2 linked regions of the Oryctolagus cuniculus genome follow. The protein of the gene in region 1 interacts with the protein of each later gene in a pairwise test. Links are inferred from orthologs where the notes say so. Each region holds a gene or a part of one and is shown on either strand. Other genes may lie near its edges. The genes, in order: CTNNA1 and ARMC8.

Region 1 (3,054 bases):
CTGCTACTTCATGATTCCCAGTTAGGCACCCAGCTGCGCTGCTCATGGATTCCTGACCTCCGAGATTGGGAGGTAATGTTTTTGTTTGAGCTGTTAAGTGGCAGGGTGATCTCTCACACGGTGATGACAGCATGCTGCTCAGGCCAGGCGACAGCGCAGACTCCATAAGCAGTAGACCCCGTGTGCACTTCAGTTGACTTTAGGCATCTGCCCTGAGCAATGGCAGCCGGGTGGTGCCAGCAGGGGGTGGGGTTAAGGGGAGGAAGAGAGCAGGGAAGAAGGCTTTGGTGTGTCCTGGGGGTGGTGGGGGCAGGGGTGGCGAGTGCAGTTTGGATGGGTCAAGTCTGAGAGACTCTCCCACAACCAAGTGGAACCTTAAGGCCATCAGGTTAAGCACCAAGTTCCAGGGTGAAGGCAGCATTGAGATGGGACTGGAAGCCGGCGGTGTGGCTGAGGTCCGAAGAGTGGAGACAGCCAAGGCTCAGCAACCAGAGAGAGGTGAGGGCTCTCTGGAGCCAGGAGTCCCAGAAGAGGATCGTTCAGCGAGATGAGCGGGCCCCAGGGGGATGGGGGTGTGTGTGGCAGGGAGACGCTCCGCTCCGGAGGCTCATTTCAAAGGCAGCTCTGCCGGGCGGGACTCCCAGCGTTCTGACTCGACAGACGGATCCCACGATCCCCGATGAGGGCTGGCAGGAGCCGGCCCTGGTGTCCCTCGGGGCAGAGATGTCGGCAGACTCACTGCTCCTCTCAAAGGCAGAGAACACAGCTTTGGCCAGTTGGTCTTGGTTTGAAAGTGGACTTTATTGGGGAATGTTAGTGTAAAAAATTCAAATTCATAAAATTTAAATAAGACAGTAAAATTAGACCTTGCAGCTTGAGTGATTGCTGTAGTAATCACAAATAGGGTAGAGACTAAATTACTGCCCAAGACAGGGAACACTGATGATCAGAAGTGAGCCAAGTGAGGAGCCTGCAGCTGGGAGAAAGGGCAGGAGCATGGTCCATGACAGCACCGCAACCTGCTAGCTGGAAAAGCAGCTTTCTGAAGCCCCACAGCAGAGTACGTTAGTAACTGTAACCATGCATGGAAACTCCCGTGTCACAGAGACTCGGTTACTCAGTTTCTGAGGGTCTGTCCCCCTGGAGACCTCCCGAGAACTTTCCTTGCCCAGGGACTGCTTCCTAAGATGCCCAGGTTGGTCCTCTTGTACCTGGGACTGCCGGGAGCCACTCTCGCCTGACCCAAGGCTGAGTCACGGATTCTTTTTGTCCAACAGTGGGCATCAGCATTTGGTCAAGAGCATCACTAACAAGTTAATGTCTCTTTGGTTATGGAATTTTTAAAATTTAAGCATATAAAAATATAGCTAGAAATATGCTCCTGAATTCTAAAAGCACTTTTGCCCAGCTGAAACACAAATATGTCTTTGCAAGGAACTGGCAGGGTTCAAAGTGTGCCTACATCCCTGTGGAATCTAATGTCAGTGTCTACTTAGCAAACCCGCTAGTGACCGAGCCCCAGGAGCTCTGAGGGCTGGGGGTGGCTGGCCCTGGCTTTGAACTTAGATGCTGTCCATGGCTTTGAACTCGCTGAGGGCCTGCACGGGGTTCACGTGCTTCTTCTGTGACGCCCGTTTAATCTTGGTCTGCGTCTCATCCTGCTTCTCTCTCTTCACCAAAGGCTTTTTCTCGGGGGCCTTCATCTTCCAGGACACAGCGGGAAGGTTCAGGGACGCCATTCCCTGAGACTTCTGGTACTTGGTGGAGGCCACGTAGGAGGCCTTCACCGTCTGCACCACGGCATTCATCAGATTCTTGGCTGCCTGGATCAGGGACATGGCGCTGTCCACCTGTGAGGCACAGAGGGCGGCGGTGAGCGGACGCGCGGGACCTGACCACAGCGTCCTCTCCCAGGCCAGGGCTTGAGCAGCAGCCCTCACCCAGGGAGTCCAGCCACCCCGGCACGGCGGCTCCCCTGGAGGAGGAAGGCAGCAGTGATGAAAACCCTCCTACCCGCTGGGGACCTGGGACTGACGAGAGAGGTCACCACTACAGACTGGGACGGACAGAGTCGGGCCATCACCCAGAACCACCCCCAAGCTGTCAGTCAGCACAGGGATCTCCCCCTCTCACTTAGAGACATGCACTCTGAATGGACAAGGGCAGGCACGGTGTCACCGAGGAGTGAATGGTACGGTGGGGGCTGCCATGGGACTCCTCTCCTACGGGGTACACAGCAGTGCAGGCCTGAGGGCGGGGCATGGGGGAGCTGAGCAAAAAGCCTGTGTCTATCTTGCAATTTCCAAACAGGCTTTACCCCTCTCACGGAGTGGGGGCGCTGTGCAGCTTGCGGCCGCCACGGGACTGGGGCTTCTGTACAGCACCCGGCGTCAGCAGCTCCCCCGGGGCCTTCCTCACTTAGAGATCACTCACCCCAGAGACGACGAGCTCTCCGCCGAGGTTCTGCACCTCGGCCTTGACCTTGCTGCAGATGTTGAGCTGGTGGCAGTAGAGGGCGATGCGCTGCAGGTAGGCCAGCAGGTCCTGCTTGCAGGCCGAGTCTGGGCACTGTGGGAGAGGGAGCTCAGGACCAAGCACGCCAGGCCCGGGCCCCCCACCGCCCCCACTCCACGCTACTGCTTAAGGGCAGTGAGGCACCAGCCCACTTCCACGCCCTGCTAGAGCCAAGAGCAGGGAGGTGAACCTGTCAGCAGCCCTGGTCTCTCCGTGCTCACATGAGGCATGCTGGCGCCTTTCAGAATGTTTGTGGAGAAACAAGTTTATTCTGGTTCACTGCGCCACTCCCCCTCCCCCCAAAAAACACATGTACCATCTTTTCATATGTGTTTTCCACAAACACTCTGAAGACTCTCTGTATGCATGGCATTTTGTGGGGGCGGGAGGAGAAGCACCAAATCGGCTCATCTTCTAGTTACATTTCTTTCCCACAACACCTTCTGAAGTCCCCTCCCGCCTCCAGCAGCCTCTGCTCACTAACTCTGCAGCAGCAGGGAGCCTGTGGCCAGAGAAAGCCGTGGCAAACGACATCTGGCC
Region 2 (3,914 bases), on another chromosome or scaffold:
CAAGGTAAGCGCCAAATCTACTCAAACATGTAATAAGTGACTGTGCTAGGAACTGAGATAAAAGACCAGGAAGATCCCATTCCTAGTGCCTGTCCTGAAATGTATAATGAAGTAAACAATCACACACATACACACAAAATCCCTGCAAATTACAGTATACAGTTGGGGGTGCTATGTTAGTGGTAAGAACAAAGGGATGCATGAAGGCATGGGGAGGGGGTCACCTAAACCTATATTCAGGGGAGGGTCTTCCTGGAAGATGTATTGCTTTTATTAATGGATGGCATGTGCATAAAACAACTATGATTGTATCATATAAATGTCAACTGAAAATGTGATAGGTACCGCTGGGATGCTGTGTGTAAGGATTCAGCTCCACCCCATTGTGTATACAGTATGTGACATGATTTTAGGTAGTGCATGGATGGACATTTCAACTTTTTTTGTAGTTATCTATGTTAATGTTCCCTAGATTAAAAATTAGGAGCACAACCCATTTGATTTCATGAGTATTCTCATTGAGGATGAGTATAAAATCTTTTTTATGAGTTGACATTGGCTTTAAAGAAAAATACCGAGTGAATGATAACACCCAACAATAGCATAAGTGGTCTGCAGATTAATGAAGCTTGGGAAATACTATGGTAGTAGAGGAATATCTAAAATGAAATTCCTGCCTCCCAGGAACTCAACAGTGTGCTAAGTAACACAGACTCCTCCTAAACAAGGGTGATATGTGCGACCACAAATTTAGAATCCAAGTACAGGAGAAAGATAGCAAAACAGTGAGGAACAAAGTGGAAGAGAAGCTATCAGCCACAAGACCCATTGTAGAACTCTGGCTCTAATGGGGTGGGGGAGGAAGGAACAGCCTGCATTATAGAATGGCTAAAGAAATGGAAGGAAGAGAGTAATGTAACAGGATCATTGAAACCATCCTGTGAAAACCTCACTGGCAGAGAGCAACACCAAGGTGAAACCTGCCCATCAAGTCAAGGTCGGTGTTGTGCGCACACACACACACAACTGGAATATGAGCAGAATTAATCAGAACATATAACTAGAAGCATGTGTTTATTTGGCTTCACTTATCAGAGCGTATCAGGATGAAATACTAAGATAGTTGCCCCATTGTTTCCCCACCTAGAGACTGGGAAAATGTTAGCACATAATGCTGCATAATGCTTTCTACATTCAACCGAAACACATGGTTAACTTGCCGAGGTATGCAGCCAGCTGATAAGCCAAGGCAAGGACTACACCCAGGCGGTCTGGTCTGGAGTACCTATTCTTAACACTACCCCAGAATAAATGGGTCGAGCACGCAACGTTAAAGCAGGTCACACTTTGGTGCGCTGCAGTGTGAAACAATTACTCTCGGTGGCAGAAGATTTGGTTCTGAGATCGCGCCTCCTCCGCCTGTAGAGATAATAACCGCGCGGGGAGTTTGTTGCAAAGAGAGGGATAATGAATGTGCACGTGAACTTCAAACTATGAGCGTGGTTCCTCCTACTAGCTTCTCGGAACAGAAACACTCGTAACCCTGGACTGCAATTTATCAGTCGGTGGAGCCTGTAGCGGCAGAGCGAGACTCCGCCCCCGAGGCCCCGCCCACCGCGCGAGGCAGGTGGGGCCAACGGGTCTTCCCTGCGCATGCGGGAAGTGCCGCCGGCTCCCACCTCTAACCCAGAAGGAGAGTAGCTGGTGTTTCTGAGAGGACGATTCGCAAGGAGGGCCGTGGCGCGCTCCCCTTTGCTCTCCTTTGTGCGGGTCCTTCCCGTGCTCGAGCGGCGTCCAGAGCGTGGCCCAGTCTTGTGTACCTTGCCTGACTTTCGGCAGAGGTGCCTTTGGCGGCCAACAGTTGGCTGTCGAAAGTGCCGGCCCCCGTGCCGGCGCCGGCAGCAGCCGGGTGGGAAGGCTCAAGATGGCGTGCCTGTTAGAGACCCCAATCCGCATGAGCGTCCTCTCGGTGAGTGAGTGAGCCGCTGCGGCCGCCCGCCCGGGAGTCCCGGCCCAGCCCAGCCCGTAGCATTCTTCCGAGCGTGGTGTGGATCCCGGGCACCACCCCCTGGGGTGGCCTCCTGCTCAGCCTTCGGCCGGGGAGTGACGGAGGGGTGGGCGGATGGGGTCGACAGGACCCCGGCCGAGCCGGAGACGTCTCCAACTCTGGGAGCTCGCTCCAGCGCACGTTCCCTGGACAGCGGCCGGCAAGTGGGCTGCTGGGGAGTGCGGGCAGCTGGCTCAGCGGCGCGGCCGGAGCTTCGGCAGGCGTATCGCTGGACGCTCGTTTTAGCGGTGTGGCTTCTGTGGGGCCGAGCGCTCTGCCCTGCGAGGCGCTGGGTTTGCCGCCGGCCTGGGGACGAGCGCCTACTCGGCTCCCTGGGGCTTTGGGCGGGAGAGGTGCAGGCTTTTAGGGCCCCACAGTCTCGGGCCAGGTCGGTGTGGCTTTTTATCGCGTCCCACACCCGGGCACCTGCTGGGGCTGCTCGCATCTTGGCAGTTGTGGGTTTTCTATTAGCTGCAACTCTTGCTAGCGTTCCGTGGTTATTTAAGCTCCCTTTCTCCGCTCGGCTCTGGAGGCGAGGGCTCTGAGACTAAGTTCCCTGCGCTTGTATTCCTTTCTCCTTTAAGGGGAGTCAAACGTTGAAGGAGATAAGATTTCCCCATTTTTGAGAGAAGGGAACGCATCGACATGCCAGGAAGTCGCATTTTTTTTTTCTGAAGTAAAACAGATAACTTTTATCTTTCACTATGTTACAGGCTGTTCTTGAAAGAACCAGGACTAGGAGTGACAGTCTTTGGTAGATAACCTCGAAGCATTTTGCAACATGTTTCAGTGGTCCAACTCAGAACGGACAGGTCACCAGTGGTTCATCCGCTGTGGGAAACAAGCAAGCAAAGACTGCCCGTCTTTCACAGTGGAGGAAGGTTGAGTGGCACTCTGTCACTTTCCTGCAGACCTGATTTCTTTTCCCAGACTGCACCCACAAACACACTCACCTTTGGGAAAACATTAGCTTGAGTCCGGGTTAGAGCCATGCGGCACACTGCATCTTCGAAAAGGCTGCAGTTGACAGTACAATGATTCTTCAGTGTTTGGAGACTTTTCAGTTAATTTTGGAGGCTGTCAAAGTTTTGGAGGCTGATCCGTTTTAGCAGGTTTTTGTTTTTGTTTTTGTTTTTAATTTACACTACAGCTAGGGAAATACTGTTAGCCCATTGCTGCACCTAGACTGTAATACCTGTGAATATTTTGACTGTTCTCAATTCCCCTTTAATTATCTCCTTTAGATTAGTACTTCTTCAGTTCACATGAAGCTTCTTTATGTAGTTTTTCTTCTTTTTATTTATTTACTTATTTATTTGACAGGTAGAGTTATAGACAGTGAGAGAGAGAGAGAGAGAGAGACAGAGAGAAAGGTCTTCCTTACGTTGGTTCACTCCCCAAATGGCCGCTATGGCCTGTGCTGCACCTAGCGAAGCCAGGAGCCAGGTGAAGCTTCTTTATGTAAATGATCAACTTGTATAGTGCATACAGTTGGGATTTTTAATTTGTTTCACTTCCTCAGTAAATATTTCCTGTTTACTTTTATTCAAAAACCGCTTGAAGAGTATTTCCAACTAATAGTTAAGATTTGCTTCTGCCCCGTCTCAATAGGGCCATATTTTTATAAAAGGGCTCTTTTAGAGTTTCAGAATCTGGTCTGTCCACTCTTCATCTCTAGAGCCTTGAGAAATCAGAGCTTTGGGTAAGTGATTTAAACTATCTAAACTTTCTGATCTTACTAATCAGAGAAGTCTGTACCTTTTCAAATACTACCCTGGGCAGCACTTTTTAAAATACAATGTGCAGGCCGGCGCTGTGGCTCACTAGGCTAATCCTCTGCCTTGCGGCGCCGGCACACCGGGTTCTA

What was found.
Region 2: the proteins of CTNNA1 (region 1) and ARMC8 interact in a two-hybrid assay, tested with the Homo sapiens proteins (2 studies listed by BioGRID and IntAct). The link is inferred for Oryctolagus cuniculus from reciprocal best matches to the Homo sapiens genes CTNNA1 and ARMC8.

What each region holds. Positions count from the first base shown.
Region 1 is NC_091437.1:26,683,217-26,686,270, reverse strand, and holds the end of CTNNA1 (catenin alpha-1), read right to left. Parts: intron 2,569-3,054; coding exon 2,434-2,568; intron 1,851-2,433; coding exon 1,563-1,850; 3' UTR 783-1,562; downstream 1-782. UniProt on the Homo sapiens protein: Associates with the cytoplasmic domain of a variety of cadherins. The association of catenins to cadherins produces a complex which is linked to the actin filament network, and which seems to be of primary importance for cadherins cell-adhesion properties.
Region 2 is NC_091435.1:143,528,923-143,532,836, reverse strand, and holds the start of ARMC8 (armadillo repeat-containing protein 8), read left to right. Parts: upstream 1-1,653; 5' UTR 1,654-1,924; coding exon 1,925-1,969; intron 1,970-3,914. UniProt on the Homo sapiens protein: Component of the CTLH E3 ubiquitin-protein ligase complex that selectively accepts ubiquitin from UBE2H and mediates ubiquitination and subsequent proteasomal degradation of the transcription factor HBP1.